Rattus norvegicus: one gene and its partners. The protein of the gene in region 4 interacts with the protein of the main gene of each other region in a biochemical or structural test. Links are inferred from orthologs where the notes say so. Each region holds a gene or a part of one and is shown on either strand. Other genes may lie near its edges. The genes, in order: Mapkapk5, Mapkapk3, Mapkapk2 and Hspb1.

What was found.
Region 1: of the proteins of Hspb1 (region 4) and Mapkapk5, one has a biochemical effect on the other in vitro, tested with the Homo sapiens proteins (4 studies listed by BioGRID and IntAct). The link is inferred for Rattus norvegicus from reciprocal best matches to the Homo sapiens genes HSPB1 and MAPKAPK5.
Region 2: of the proteins of Hspb1 (region 4) and Mapkapk3, one has a biochemical effect on the other in vitro, tested with the Homo sapiens proteins (2 studies listed by BioGRID and IntAct). The link is inferred for Rattus norvegicus from reciprocal best matches to the Homo sapiens genes HSPB1 and MAPKAPK3.
Region 3: of the proteins of Hspb1 (region 4) and Mapkapk2, one has a biochemical effect on the other in vitro, tested with the Homo sapiens proteins (17 studies listed by BioGRID and IntAct, with this or other methods). The link is inferred for Rattus norvegicus from reciprocal best matches to the Homo sapiens genes HSPB1 and MAPKAPK2.

Annotation. Positions count from the first base shown.
Region 1 is NC_086030.1:40,657,745-40,661,305, reverse strand, and holds part of Mapkapk5 (MAP kinase-activated protein kinase 5), read right to left. Parts: intron 2,011-3,561; coding exon 1,937-2,010; intron 891-1,936; coding exon 815-890; intron 127-814; coding exon 29-126; intron 1-28. UniProt on the Homo sapiens protein: Tumor suppressor serine/threonine-protein kinase involved in mTORC1 signaling and post-transcriptional regulation. Phosphorylates FOXO3, ERK3/MAPK6, ERK4/MAPK4, HSP27/HSPB1, p53/TP53 and RHEB.
Region 2 is NC_086026.1:116,839,419-116,843,489, forward strand, and holds the start of Mapkapk3 (MAP kinase-activated protein kinase 3), read right to left. Parts: upstream 2,811-4,071; 5' UTR 2,580-2,810; exon of another isoform or gene 2,576-2,579; intron 2,452-2,575; 5' UTR 2,400-2,451; coding exon 2,175-2,399; intron 1-2,174. UniProt on the Homo sapiens protein: Stress-activated serine/threonine-protein kinase involved in cytokines production, endocytosis, cell migration, chromatin remodeling and transcriptional regulation.
Region 3 is NC_086031.1:45,109,495-45,113,601, forward strand, and holds the start of Mapkapk2 (MAP kinase-activated protein kinase 2), read right to left. Parts: upstream 2,833-4,107; 5' UTR 2,532-2,832; coding exon 2,295-2,531; intron 2,282-2,294; exon of another isoform or gene 1-2,281. UniProt on the Homo sapiens protein: Stress-activated serine/threonine-protein kinase involved in cytokine production, endocytosis, reorganization of the cytoskeleton, cell migration, cell cycle control, chromatin remodeling, DNA damage response and transcriptional regulation.
Region 4 is NC_086030.1:26,430,084-26,433,752, forward strand, and holds Hspb1 (heat shock protein beta-1), read right to left. Parts: upstream 2,219-3,669; 5' UTR 2,085-2,218; coding exon 1,709-2,084; intron 1,048-1,708; coding exon 984-1,047; intron 873-983; coding exon 692-872; 3' UTR 557-691; downstream 1-556. UniProt on the Homo sapiens protein: Small heat shock protein which functions as a molecular chaperone probably maintaining denatured proteins in a folding-competent state. Plays a role in stress resistance and actin organization.

The DNA of each region.
Region 1 (3,561 bases), about 14 Mb from region 4:
GTATGGTGATGGCCCTGTTCAGTCTTACCTGGGGCTGGACTCATGAGGGAACTGTACACTGTTAGCAAACACTTCAATAATCTCAACTATGTTGGAGTGTGTGGCACACATCATGTGCAGGCGCACCTTAAAGAGAACACAGGAAACACCATCAAAAACTGACCACACTCGGCCTACTTCTGTAGAAATCCTTGTCACCTAGAATACTAGGAAAAGTATTTTCCTGTCCAGACCATTGGCTTCCTCCATACAAATAAAACTGCACGGGGCTGGGGATTTAGCTCAGTGGTAGAGCGCTTACCTAGGAAGCGCAAGGCCCTGGGTTCGGTCCCCAGCTCCGGAAAAAAAAAAACAAAAAACTGCACTAACAGATGCACTACGCCCTCTATTAACAAATGACAACGTGCACAACTCACTATTTCACATTCCTGCTACTAATGTAAACTGTGAGGTGAGTGAAGACTGCACGCCAGCTCTCCACATCACTGGAGCACTCGACATGGTAACATGAAGAGAGGAAGTATAGACAGTCTTTACACATCTCTTCACTTTCCAGAGAGCTACCTGCCTTAACTGTAAATACATATATATCCTAAGGCTCTAAGAACATTTAAACAAGGGCTGGACAGACAGCTAAGTGGTTAAGGGTGTCTCCTGCTCTTCCAGAAGAACAAACTTCAGTTCCCAGAGGGTGAGCCCACACTGTCTGGAGCAGTAAAGCATCTAATGGAGTTTTCAGGCCTGCAGAGGAAAGACCACCCCCTCTCCCTCTGTGCGTGCGTGCGTGCGTGTGCAAGCCAAATAAGGAACATACCTCATTTCTAGCTTTTGGACGATCGAGAAGAATTTTCAGTGCAAACCGTTCTTGAGTAGATTTCTTTACACAGACTCTAGGTATAGAAAGGAATCACAATGGTAGTCAGGATCTCCACAGCAAGTTCCAGGACAGCATGGCCTAACAGACCCTGTCTCAGACACACAGGCAAAGGAATACAAACAATGTGCCCTGAGCAGCAGGTGGCAAAGGTGAAGTCTCCTGCTGTCTGCTCAGCCACGGAGCCACACTAGAGTCTCAGCCTCAGCAGGTAATGTCAGCTCACGACCAAAGGACTGAAGAAACGATGGCCTCTCAAAAAGGCCAGTCTTATTTCCTAACATTTTTATTTCTTTCTATTGTATGAATGTTTTGCCTGCATGTAAGTCTGTTCACCGCCTGTTCCCTGTGGAAACCGATAGAGGGCGTCAGATGCCCTGGAGGAATTACTGGTGAGCCAGTTTATGGGTCCCAGAAATCAAACCCAGGCCTCTGCAAGAGCAGCTGCAGCTCTAAACCTCTGACCCACCTCCAGCCCCACCTTTTACATCTTTAGAATTACATTAAATTTTTTTATTTCATGTGTGATGTACATAAGGAGGTCACAGAGAAACCTGCAGGGATCAGTTCTCTCCTTCCAGTATTATTATTGGACCAGGCCATCAGAATTGTAACAAGAACTTCTACCCAACAACCCATCTCACTGGTCCAAATATCTTAACGTCTTAAAATCAGCCCATAATACTACAGACCGTGTGACTTTACTACTTAGCTGTTTCTAGCTATGAAACACTAACTACAGGCCTTTACCAAGGGGCCAGTGAGATCCACAGGACCTACACGGGGGAAGCGAACCACCTCCTGAAAGTCATCCTTAGACTTCCACACACTCACTCATAAAAATGCAACAAACAGATTATGAGGACGGACCTGAGGTTTAGCTTGTCACCTCTATGAGCTGGGGTAGCTCAGTGGTACATGCTACTACAACAATTCAAAGCCAAATAAAAACTGCAATTTAAACTCAGGCCAACTCTGATGGCGCATCGGGTGCCTGTGGCTCAAAGCTCACTTCCTATGTCTGTTCCCAGAACACACACCCACTTTTCCACATTGTCTTACCTAACCGGACCACTAATTCCAGCTCCCAGTTTCTGAGTCCAATTGATACTATATTCTTCTAAAATGGAGGTCTCCTATTAAAAAGAAGAAGATGAACAGGAGAGGCAGAGGTAACTCAACTGTAAGCTACAGCCCTGCCTCAGCGCCTCCCAGTCCGCAGGCTTCACAATCGCACACTTGTTCACATGACTGCCATCTCCTCCCAACCACTACCTCCCGATAACACAGGTTCAAGAATAAGAGAACTGCAATCCACCTTCGTGGTCTATTTAAGTAGACAAATGATGCTTTAGACAACGTATGGAACAAACATTAGGACTTTAGATAAGTGGCAGAACACTTACCTAGCATATGAGAGGCCTTCATCCGCCTCCAGCACCACTCATGTATTCAAATGTACAGCACAGTAACTTGTGAGTCTTCACTACGACAATCAAGTACACTTTCTTTTTTTTTTTTTTTAAATTTATTTACTTTATGTATGTGAGCACACTGTCGCTGTCTTCAGACACACCAGAAGAGGGAATCGGATTCCATTACAGATGGTTGTGAGCCACCATGTGGTTGCTGGGAACTGAACTCAGGTCTTCTGGAAGAGCAGTCAGTGCTCTAACCGCTGAGCCATCCTGCCAGCCCCACCTGGCACTCTTTTAAATCTTAAAAACTGAGAGTCCAGAAAACTGTGTCAGGTATTAATAGAAGCTTACATCCTTGAACAAACTGTTCAACTTGTGTGGATGGGAGAGTGGTGGTTTGAATATGCTTGGCCCAGGGAGTTGGCACTATTAGGAGATGTAGCCTTGTTAGGGGAAGTGTGTCACTGCAGGGGTTGACTTTGAGACCCTGCTCCTGCCTGGAAGACAGTTTGCTCTTGGCTTCCTTTGGATTAAGATGTAGAACTCTAAGCTCCTCGAGAACCATGCCTGCCTGGACGCTGCCTTACTTCCAGCTATGATGATAGGGGACTGAACCTCAGAATCTGTAAGCCAACTCCAGCTAAATGTTGTCCGTTTAAGAGCTGCGGTGGGCATGGTGTCTGTTCACAGCAACAGAAACCCTGAGTCAGGAGTGTGAACTCTCAGGCCTAATCTTACCAGGCTAAGGATGTACCTGACAGCAGAGAGTATCCCATCCACATTAGAGATTGAGGTTCAAACACTTGCTTTCACAGAAGGAAGCATGGCACTTTCTAGACCACTTGTCCTCAGTAATGACCCACTATCACCATTTGAGAATGTTTAAATAAAAACAACCCAATGTCCAGGATGGAGTGGATCAAGTATGCATTCTCCATTCATCTCTCCCTGGTAGGCCATCAACATTCAGTAACAACAAAACAGGCAATTCTCATACTCATGGTGTGAAGGCAGGCAACTGCTTTCCATGAATATATTTAAAGCTGGACAAAATGTCAAAACAAGACTGTCAGCCAGGAGGGCTCTCTGCTCTACTCCCAGCACGCAGCAGGCAGAGGCAGGAAGGCTTCTCTGAATACAGGACAACCTAATCAACAATGAGTACCAGACCAGGCACAGCTACACAGTGAGACCCAGTCAGTTGTCAGTTTTACAACGGTATAAACAAACTGAGAACTGTCTGTTTCTTAAACCCACTAGAAGTGAGGT
Region 2 (4,071 bases), on a different chromosome or scaffold from region 4:
CTTCCTGCTAGGTTCTGTCTAACCCCTCAGGCAATAAAGCCCAAAGATGGGCATGAAAAATTCAGGCTACACGATCAAGCCAAGCCAGCCTAATTATCTGAGTTATGGATCTAGGAAGGCACAGAGCCCATGACCTCCTAGGCTGAACTAGAGCAGCTGAGGAGAGGGTTAGGACCCACTCAGGGCCTGGCTGAGCTCCTTGGGCTCCGGTCTGTTACTCTGCTGAAGTTCCCCATACATCCTTCCTCTCCTGGGCAGAGGACAGAAACTGTTAAATGAGAAGGTGCTAGTTCCTTCCCCAAGGCCAAGCCACTAAAACAGCACATACACAGAGGTAGAGCTGGTCCCTTCTGGAGAGTAGGAGCCAAGATCAGAAAGAATTAGAATGAGAGCCACATCTAATCTCTTTCTCCCTGGAGGGTAAATTTAGGGCCAGATCCTAGAGCCTTCAAGTCATGCTGACCCATAATCTTAAGGGGAACAGAGGTGAAACTACTTCAGAACTCCACTGTTCCCAGACCAGGACAGGGAGAAGGTGGGGCCCTAAAATAGGAGGAGCTAGAGTGGAAGCTGCTGTAGCCACAAGTTCCCCCAGTCATTAGTCAGACACTTCATCTATGGGGGAGGTGTAGGCCCAGCCCTGCTTAAAGCTGCAACTGCCTGGGTTACAGGCTACAGGCTCTCACTCATCCCCACTGTGCTCACAATATGTGATCCCCAGAAGGTCAGGGTCAAAGCCTCAAACCTGAGAAGAGGTTCTCTGGCCTCAATCACCCGCTCACCCTCACGCAGGCTGCCTCTTAATTCAAGCAGGACAACTGGTGGTAAGGGAGAAGGTAAGGCTCATTATTCATCTCCTCAGACCTATCTGCCACGAGGAAAGCCACCTTCTCACCCCTGCCTGGGACCCCAAAGCGCTATTCTACTGTTGGGTTAACGAATAAAGAACCTAGGGTCCAGCCCTCAAGTCAGTCCTTACCCTGCCCTCGACCCACCGTCATAATCCCCTCTAGGGTCCCGCTTGAGAGCCAACCTCCTCTGCTTTCAGCCTGGTACACCAGGGAACGACAAAGAACGGGGCCCAGGCGCTCAGTAAAATTCTTTTGGATCTTGTGCTTGAAGAAACTGCTGAAGCCTCCTCTCTAGGCCTCTTCCAGGCCTAGATCAAGTACGCCACGTGTTTTATCTCATTTTGAGTTCACATCAACTCCCGTTCTCTCCCTGAACAAAATCGGCTATCGCCCAAGGTCACAGAGCTGGCACAGACACAAGGTAGAGATTACAGCCACAGCTACAGGACTCTGCACCCTGGCTCATGAAAAACAGAACTTTATGAACTTCCAGGAGTTACTCGCTCTCCACCTTGATGTTCCAGGAAGGTGCCAATGGCACCACCTCTAATTGAGTCTAGTTCCCAGTGACAAAAAATTCAAGGTGTTCTGGAGTACGGGGTAGAGGTGGGGTGAGGACACGGGTAGGAGTAGGGCCTCTTGGACTGCCCAAACCAGATTCAGGTAGTGAGATCAACTACTCCAAGCCACTCCCCCTTCCACCTACATCAATGTGCCAGCCTCTAGGGAGTATGATATGGTAAGTGGTTCCTCATCGTCTGCCCGGGGTGGGTCAGCCTAGGAGCAAAGTTTGCCCCTTTCCACAAGGGTCCACCAACTCATCAAGAGCCCAGCAGTCAAAGAGGCTTATAGTCCTGCCTCAGCAGTCGGAAGCCGTGAGGAGGAAGCAACCCCATTCTGAGCCTTGGGAGCTCAGCCCTCAAGCAGAGGGAAACTTAGACCCATTCCTGTAGCAGGAGCTAATTGCAGAGGATGGCTAAGAGTAAGAGCATCCTTTGCGCCTAAACACAAGCCCAAACCAGAACCACAGCGCACAGCCACTCCCTCCTGCCTTCCGGTACAACAGCTCTACTCACACTGACTCCTCCCCCTTGCTCTTTGGGACCCACCCTGAGCTTAGGTAGGTCAGCCTGTGTTAGCCTGTTTCCGCATGTGTGAGGCTGAGAGGACCATGAGTCTGACGCTAGAGGAAGAGTATAAAAATAAAACATGATGCTGAGTGTAGATGTTTAATAGAGGCCCCGAATATAGATACACCCACAGGTATCTGCTGTTGGACCCTCCAGGTCATCCCAGCCCTCCGAGAGATGATGGGTCACTAACCTTCAAGGCACACTTCTGCCCAGAGCGCCGATGGTAGCACTCTAGTACCTTGCCGTTCACACCCAGACCCAGCACTTGCTTGGACAACTGGTAGTCATCAGTCACCGCGTACTTCTTGGGTTCCCGTCGCACACCTGGGGCCGGAGCACCGCCCAAGGCGGGCGCACCGAGCGCACCTGGCTGGGGCACAAGACTCCCCTTCTCCCCCGCCGTCTCGCCATCCATGGCCCCCACGGGGCGCTTGTAGGTAGCCCCAGCCTGGCACGTCCAGAGGCACCTGAAGGAAAGGGAAAGAGTCACTCCCCATCGAGACTTTTTGGACACACCCCAGCTTTGGTTTCTCCAGAACTAGATTGACTGGGCTGCTGGGCCAAGACAAGCTGGAAACTGCCTGAGAGTACCTACGTACAGCAGGGGGAGGTGATCCCTCAGCCCAGGCACATGTGGAGTTGAGGAGTCCGGCGCAGTGAAGCAGCCAGGTCTTGAGAAACGGCCATATAGGGGCCCAGGAAAGGCGTGCCAGGCGAAGGCGCACTTGATGGCAAAGCACTAGACGGAAGTCATGTTGTAGGCGAGAGGGGCAAGAGATAGTGAGGCCTGGAGTCCGCTGCGGAGGGGAGCCCTGGACCCAGAGTCTCGCGGTCCGCGCCCCACGTGACCCCCCATCCCCCTTCTGGGCGCGTCATCTGGACTTGGGGCCCCGCTAGGTCAGCCTTAAAGGGCCAGACAAGTCCAGGCTGGGTTGGCCAAGGCAGAGCCCCTGGCAAGCTCCGCCCCTGAGTCGGGACAAAATGGGGCGTAGCCTCCTCAAGTGTCTGTAACTTTCTCAGCGCCCTGTGACACTGGTAGGAACTCCTCCAACTGTTGTACCAGCCTCGGATTTTATCCCTGATCTTGAAAAGTTACAGCACACGACATTTTGTTTCTCTTGAGGGCTCTTGAGTGAAGTGTTCTTTTTGCTTGCTGCCAGGGGGCGGTTTAGACTCCCAACTTTCCAGATAGCTAAGCGCTTCAGAATTCAACTTCTGAATTTTTTTGTCAGTCTGCCCTGGGACATGTGGTTGTTCAATTCGCAACTCTTCATTCCCTGGTGGTTTAGGGCATCTGTCTAACACTGGCCAGCTTTCCTTTCTATACACCAAACTTTTGACTTTGCAACTCACTTGTCGCAAATGTATTGGGCCACACTCGTGCTTTCCTGGACCTCTTACAGCCTGCAGCCGTAAGTTGAACATACCTGGGCCGTTCTTGACCCAGAAATCTTGATTTCCCATTGGTCAGTTGCATCAACTTTTCACTTTGTCATGATTTGAGCTTTAGATTCTATTTCAAGCCACTGGCCCTGGTGATGAACACCAGTAATTGCAGCACGAGGAAGGCTTAGGCAGGAGGATTAGGAGGCTAACCTAGGCTACATCGTGAGGCTATGTTTTTTTTTTTTGTTTGTTTGTTTGGTTGGTTGGTTGGTTTTTTTTTTCTTTCTTTCTTTTTTTCGGAGCTGAGGACCGAACCCGGGACTTGCGCTTTCTAGGCAAACGCTCTACCACTGAGCTAAATCCCCAACCCTGAGGCTATGTTTTTAAAAAATAAAATAAAATTAGCCTAGCACTCTGAAGGCAGAGGAAAGCTGATCTCAGTCAGTTTGAGGCCAACCTGGCCTACAAAGAGATGTTCCAGTACAACCAGAACTGCTACATGGAGAAACACTGTCTCCAAAATCTCAATGAATCAATCAATCAATCATCAATCGATATTAACATTAAAATTCCTTTCTTCCATCCCAAAGACAGATTCTCTATTAACTTTAAAATTTCCTCTTCTGGGGAACAAAATACTTACAGGAGGAAATACAGAGACAAAATGTGGAGCAGACACTGAAAGAAAGGCCATCCAGAGA
Region 3 (4,107 bases), on a different chromosome or scaffold from region 4:
TGCGTTTGTGTGTGCGTGCATATGCATGTGTGTGTGTGTGCATGCGTGTGCATGTGTGTGTGTGTGTGTGTGTGTGTGTGTCTCAAGTGCATAATGGTGAGCACAGAGGACAGAAAGAGCTCAGATGTCAGAGCCCCTGGAACTAGAGTCACAGGTAGGTGTTACCCACCTGAGTCCTCTGCAAAAGCAGCAAACGCTCCTCACAGCTGGGCCATCCTTAGGTTAGTTTTTATTTTTTTTAAGCCCCGGTTTCACTTAATAGAACAAAGAGCAGAACCTAGGAGCAGCCTTCATTTCCCATCATTCCTCGGGGCTATAAGACAGGCTTCTAAATCCCCATGAGAGCCAGGCTGGGCACTACGTCCCTAGGCATGGACTCAGTACACTGTATAGAGCACAGGTCTCTTCCCAGTACCCAAAGGGATCATCAACCCAGCCTGTTCCACTGTTTCCTCTCCCCGTGCTGCCCCCACTGTTTTGAAATCATTTCACTACTCAGCACCTAAAGTTTTCAAAGCGTAAGACTCGGCGGCAGTGGTGGTGCGTGCCACTGAAAGAGGATTTCTTTTAACCAGATTTCCCTCAAGGCTGCGATTATGTCTTAGCCAATATTTGGGTATGAAAATGCTGTTGACACGGCTGCCACTCTCCAAACATCTTGGCTCTCCTTTCTTCCTCTACTCAAAATCTCAACACAAAGATGTACGGGAAATCTGCAATCTGCCATCTGAGTCAGCCTTGAAGATCTGGGAGCGGGCTGCTTGTCAAAACAGTCTTCACCTACCCCTGACTAGAGAAGGGTTAGCATGAGGATGGTTTAATATGCTGCTAGCTTCTTTTCCTTTCAAAACTATCCAAAGGAGAAAAGTACACGAACTTCCGTTAACTATACCAGAAATCTGAATTGACAGCCTAGAGCACTTCAGAGGACAGTGTATTCAAACAGAATAGGAAAGGGTAAAGCAGGTTTTTCTGTTATTGTTGTGAAGTCTTTAGACTGTGTTCCAGCTAAGCAAGAGAATGAACAGCCAGTGTCCCCGGTCTGCTGATGGGTAAAGGCAGATGGCACGGCAGAGAGAGAAATGTTTCCGGAAAGAACATCTGTCACTTCCTCAACAATACAGTTAACTGTGGTCAAACTGTTCCTTAGCCTCCAGTCCCCAAGGTCAGAGCCACCGTTCGACCCAATCAACTCCTTTCCTCACTTACTTACTAACAGGGAAAGAGAAGTGAAAAGTACAAACGCTTCAGTATTTGGGGCCGTGTTAAGAGTCCCTCCCCAGCATTCACACCAAGCAACATTTTTAATGTGATGCTGAAGATGAAAACAGCAAAAACATACAAAGTCCCAGGTTTTGGTCCCGCATATGACAACAGTCTCAACTCTATCTGTACTATAGTCTATCTGTACTATAGAAGGGCTGGAACAAAGCAAGTTGTGTGGGCTGAGGGGGAAGAGAAAAATATAACACAGGAAGTAGTTTGCTCCTCCAATCATTGAGACACCTCGGGAGAAAGAAACCTGACAAGTGACCTTTAGAGATACGGTGTAACCTGAAACCCTTGAGAGAAGAAAACTTTGCAGTGACCCTGAATGACAGAGTCCGGTGGTTCACTAAGACCTTTTGAAATTCCCATTCTCCACTACCACAGACAGAAACAGAGGCAGGCAGACGTAGAGAAATTAAGAGTGGGTTTCCCAAATGCAGGAATAGTGTTTTCCTGCCTTTGAGTCTCCAGCTACGAGGGACCAGTTTATCAGCACTGGGCCAAGCCTTGGCTTACAGACAAGGCTTCCAACGGTGGAGGGAGCAATGGAAACAGCGCGGCGCAGCCTAAGGGGTAGCGCAGGCCAGGCGCTGGCGGTTCCAGACAATCGCGGGACACGGAGGCGGGGTCCCCAGTCTCCAGCGCCGCGCCGACGCGCCCCAGTGCTGCGCGCCGACCTCGCGAGGCCGGAGAGAGCGAAGTCACATTCCGGCTCCCAAATAAGGAGTAGGGTTAAGGAAACCTCAGAGAGCGAACTTCTCCAAACCGACCGACCAACCAGCTCAATGAGTAAAGGGCCTTTTGTGCCCGCAGAAAGGAAGGAGGGAGGGAGGATGGGGCCACCGTGTCCTCGGCTCCGGGTGAAGCGATCAGAGGCCGTCCCGGACCCAAGCGTGGCCTCCCGGCTGGATCCCACTCACACCCCAACATGGCAGTCCCCGTGAGTCCTCTCGGGTGCCGGCCACTCGCGGGGTGACCGGAAGCTGCACCGGATCCCAGCGCGATCCCGGGCGGCCCAGACTTACCTTTAGGGCGAATTTTTGCTGGGTTCTCTTGTCGAAGATCCGCAGCACCTTCCCGTTGATGCCCAGGCCAAGCACTTGGCTGGTGACCTTGTAGTCGTCGGTGATGGCGTTCTTTCGGATCTGCAGGCCCGACTTGACGTGGAACTGAGGGAACGGCGGCGGCGGCTGGGCCGGGGCGGGTGGTGGCGGGCTGGGGAACGGCGCCGGCGGAGTCTGGCCCGGAGAGCCCGACAGCATGGTGCCCGGCGACTCGCGCGCAGAGGAAGGGGCCGCGGCAGCCCCCTCCTCCGGCTCGGGCCCGGGTCCCCGCCACGCCCCGCCCGGCGGCGAAGTTTGCTCCGGGCTGGAGCCGGCTGCCCCGCCCCGGCCCGGCTCCAGGCTCGGCGGGTCGCGGGGCCCCGTGGGTCCCGCTGTGCGCCGCGGGCGCCCACCAGCCCTGCTCCCTCCCCCCGGAGACGAGCGCTCCGGGGAACGCGGGACGGCGGGGCCCGGCCGGGGGAATCGCCGCGCCGAGAAGTACCAGCCCGGGGGCGGCGGCCGCGTCACAGGCTGCTCAGCGTCCTGGGCTAGTCCTTAAAGGGGAGGATCGAGGGTGGGGCTTGGGAGAGGCGTGGGCTTGGGGGAGGGGTGGGCCTTAAAGGGGAGGAAGTCCAGTGGCGGGAGAGCATAGGGAGTGCGAGCTAGCGGTCAGGAAGAGAGCACCAAGAAATCCTAGTTCTTAACCCGGGCCGGGCAGAGGGAAAGGGAAGGAGGGCAAAAGAAAAGAGGCTGGATAATTCAAACAAAACCCTCACTTCTCCAACTGCTTGGATCTAGAAGACAGGTCATCGGGGAATTTGAGGAGGCGGTGTATTTTGAAAGAAACGGATAATTGATAAGAATCTTCCTACGTGGACCCTGGGGGTGGGGGCTACCCGGGCAGTGCGGGGAGCCGGGGGCGGAGAGGGGGGGCGGGGGTTACAGAGACTATTCATCCTAAGATTAGGCGTCAGGCAATAGTAAGGATTTCCTTAATATACTTGTGAGTTTTACTTTTTTTTCCCTCATGGACTTACTGGTTTTCTGAGACTGTATTGCTGTGTTATCATGACCAATTTAGTTATTATGCATTTGAACATATTTTTATGTAAACCCAACATGACCCAAGATAGGAAAGGGATGAGGCACTGTAGCTGCCTGTAATCCAGGGTTATCTGCAGGAGGTTGAAGCAGGAGGATGATGTGTCAGAGGGTCAGCCTGAGCAACAAAGGCAGACTGTGTCTCAAAATACCCATAAACTTCATGTCTCTCTGGGAGGTACACCTATGCCTTTGTGTTCTAAACTCATTGAGATTATAGACCAAGGGGAAAGGCAAGGGGAATAGTTCTTGGGTGGTTGAGGAAATCATCCCTGAGGCTATGACCAATAACTATTCCTGTAGCAGCCTAGTTCTAGTAGAAGTAGAAAAGGGCATTGGAGACATAGCCCAGGAGAATAAGGTTCATTTGCTTTTCCCTGTTTAGATTTCCAGAAGAGGCTTGTCCCAAGGAAGACAGAGGTGGACAGGTGAAGGACAGTAGTTCCCCTCTTGAGATCCAGCAAAACTGAGACGACTGGTGCCCTTTCAAGAAGCACTTTTTTCAGCACTAGGTTCCATGCTCCTGGCTTACCCCTGTGGTGATAATGCTAACCCAGGGGAATGGATAGATGCAGTAGTTGGGTCAGCAGTGTGGCAGATACAGGCCTGGGAATAGAAAGCAAATTAGCTCACTTCAGTCTGCAGCTGGACAGATCCCTTCCACATTGCACACAGGCTAGACAAGTCCCGGTTT
Region 4 (3,669 bases):
TGGCTGACTCTTTTTTTTTTTTTTTTTTTTTTTTTACCTTTAAGGTGTTTTCATGTATCCCAGGCTGGCCTCACTTTGGCCACGTAGCCCAGGATAACCTCGAACTCCTTTCTGATCCTCCACTTCTGGAATGTGCCACCGTACCCGGTTTATTTGATGTAGAGGATCAAATGGTGCTTCATGCACACCATAGGACACTCTATTGAGCCACACCCCAAGCTCCTATTATGTTTGTTTGTCTGGTTGGTTTTGAAGACAGCATGTATGTGGCCCAGTCACTCTAAGAACTCTGTAGCCCAGGCTGGCTTCCAATTCACAATGCTTCTGCATTAACTTCTGGGTATTGGAATTACAGGCATATACCACCATTCCTAGTCTGGTAAATTTAATCTCCAGGTTACTCCCCCCACCCCACCCCACCCCCTGCCTCTTCCTAGGGGAATATTAGGCTGGACGGAGGAAGGGGCTGAGCCTAGAGCAAACACTTAGCAAAGACCCCAAAGGGTGCTCCAATTAGAAACACTCATCCCTAGCCCACCATAACAACTCTGGATTCTGAGAGGGTGGTGAGCAGTAGTTTCCAACTTTTATTTGAGAAAAACAGAAAGTACATGTATCAAAAGAGCATTCAGATTGACAGAGAGGGAGGGCTGGTGACGGCTACTGGGGATGGGTAGCAAGCTGAAGGCTTCTACTTGGCTCCAGACTGTTCCGACTCTGGGCCTCCAATTTGGGCACGGGCCTCGAAAGTGACCGGAATGGTGATCTCCGCTGATTGTGTGACTGCTTTGGGCAGCGGAGCCTCCACGGTGAGTGTGCCCTCAGGGGACAGGGAAGAGGACACCAGGGTGGGGTCCACACCTGGAGGGAGCCTAGAGGAGCAGAAACAAAGGACAAGGGTTACACATCCCTCCTGACCCCGCCCTCCGCCCAGGGTCCGCTCCCCCACCCCCCAGCTCTCCATGCAAGGAACCAGAACTCACGTGTATTTCCGGGTGAAGCACCGAGAGATGTAGCCATGTTCATCCTGCCTTTCTTCGTGCTTGCCTGTGGGTGGGGACAGAAGGAGGTCAGAGGCAGCCCTCTGCAGTCCTAGCTAAGGAATGGCTGGGGCCCCAAGGAGGCAAACAAATTAAGAGTGTGGTGGGATGCCTGACTGTCTGGGATCTTAAAACTTTCCAGAAAGTTCGCTTCTGAGATTTGGGATGCAAAGGTCCCGGACCTGGGCTTGGCTCTGACCCAGGCTTGGATGCCAGCGTAGGCATACTCGAAGCTGTGCGCACGCCCCCACCGCGGCTGGGTCTAGGGACCCTGACTGGAGTCCTGCCACTTGCTTATTTGGGGATGAGGTCTTCCAGAAGGTGCCTTGGGTCTTCCTTCATTTTGTTTCTGTGCTGCGGGTGGTCAAGGCCTCAAGGCCTCCGGGCTTGCCAGGCAAGACTCTGCCCTGAGCTACACCCCCAGCTGTTGGTCCTTATCATCGAAGATGACAGAGCTTTTAGGAGCAAACCTGCACCCCGCGTTCCGGGGCAAGAGAAGCAGGCTAGGGAGAATGACGCGGGTCTCCGGGTCCCTGAGCTCATTTCTAACTTTTCAGGGTCCTGTCCCTCATGGTTTCAGCACCCACCCCCACCCCCCACCTCCACTGCCACCACGTTACTCGCTCGCCCCACCAGCTTCGTCCCCTCTTGGGATAAGGGAAACTCACCAGTGATCTCCACCACGCCTTCCTTGGTCTTAACTGTGAGCTCCTCAGGAGCGAAGTGGTTGACGTCCAGGGACACGCGCCAGCGATCGGCCGTCTGTCGGATCTCTGAGACACCGCTGCTGAGTTGCCGGTTGAGCGCCCGGCTGAAGGCGGGCGCGGCCAGGGTCACTGCTGCGGGGCCCTCGGCGGTCGCGGCGGGCAGAGGGCGCACATAGCCGGGCCAACCAGCGGAGCTGAACCACTGAGACCACTCATCGGGAAACCGAGGCACCCCGAAAGCTTGATCGAAGAGGCGGCTGTGGGCAGGGTACCAGTCCCGGAACGGCTCCCAGCTGGGGCTCCGCAGTAGCGAGAAGGGCACGCGGCGCTCGGTCATGGTCTTGGCTGAGCTGGTCAGGGCTGAGGATCTAGAAGCACTGGGCTGAGGATCCGAGAAGTGCCGAGCTGGAGCCCCAACTGTGCTTTTATGGGTGTCCAGCCGGGTATTTTTAGCAGGCGGTGCTTCAGGTCTCTATTAATGGCAATGACCGTCTAAGGGGCCGTCCCTCGCCGCCCCTCCCCTCTGCATTCCTCCCCCTAAGCTTACGAAGGGGGCGGGCAGGCAGGGCCAGGAAGGTTCTGCCCCCATCTGGAAACTTCTCTAGTTGAAGAAAACAAATGACTGTAATACCGGTAGCTGGAGCAGTTCCCACTGTCGCTTAGAACGCTGCAGTCTGAAGGGCGGTGGCCTGGGGCCAGTCCCATCGTTTGTGGAGAATAAACCAGGAGGGGTACGGTCTTTTGTGTCGCAATTAGGAAGCAACTGAACCTGGTCTGAGCCAGAAGGAGGCCTGTGGGGACACACTTGTCAGGGCACACCTGTGGAGGTCTCTGGATGACCAGCCAGACTAGCTGTCTTCTACCATGTGTCTCTTTGGGGACCAAAGGCTTGGTGGCAGGCGCCTTCGTCCACTAAATATCTTACTGACCCTGAGACTTCTTTTTCTCTTCCTTCCCTCCTTCCTTTCTCTCTTTCTTTGAGACAGGGTTTTTCTTTTTTGTTTTAATGCTTTTTTAAACATTATTTTTTGTGTATCAGCGTTTTGCCTGCTTGTACGTCTGTGTGAGAGTGTCAGATCTTGGAGCTACAGAGAGTGTCAGATCTCGGAGTGCCCTGCGGGTGCTAGAATTTGAACCTGGGTACTAGGAAGAGCAGTCAGTCCCCCTAATCGCTGAGCCATCTCTCGGGAGACATCAAGCCTGGTGCCTGCAAACTGGATGGGCAGTGAACCCCCTAGCATCCTCCTGTTTCTGCAACTGCCCCACCCCTCCAGCCTAGCGCTAGGATTAGGATCTTTTTTCAAAACAGGATTTTTCTGTGTAGTCCTGGTTGTCTTAGAACTCATTAGACTAGGCTGGCCTGGATCTCACAGATCGGCCTGCCGTTTCCTCTGGGAGAGTTGGGATTAAAGGCTAGAGGCATCACATGGTAGCCACCTCCAGCTTTTATATGGATTGCTTTGTGGTCCATACAAAAGAAACTAGGGTTAAAGGTCACCTGTGATGTCTATTAGCATACCAATGAGCACTGGCCTCTGGGCTCACTGGGCAACTGAAATACTACTCTTAGCTCTTCTCAGCCCTTCTCACCCTGCCCCTTACTCATAAACGTCTCCAGTTCTTGGGGCTCCCCTCCCCCAGCTTCTCACGACTGTATGTGCTCTCTTGGTCCTCTCTCCCTCATCCCCCTCTCTTGGTCTTTTTTGCCCCATCTCTCTTTGCTGGCATCTGTCCCTCTCCCAATCTCTCTTCTCTCCTGTCCACACACACCCAATCTGCTGGCCATATGCAGTTCAGTTTCTCTGCTCTGGATTCTTCCAGACGCCTCTGACTGTATGCTCTCATATCCACCGTAAAAACTTTCCCCTTAACCACACCTCAGAGCAGCCATGTCCTCAGTTGTAGACCCAAAACTCAGCCCC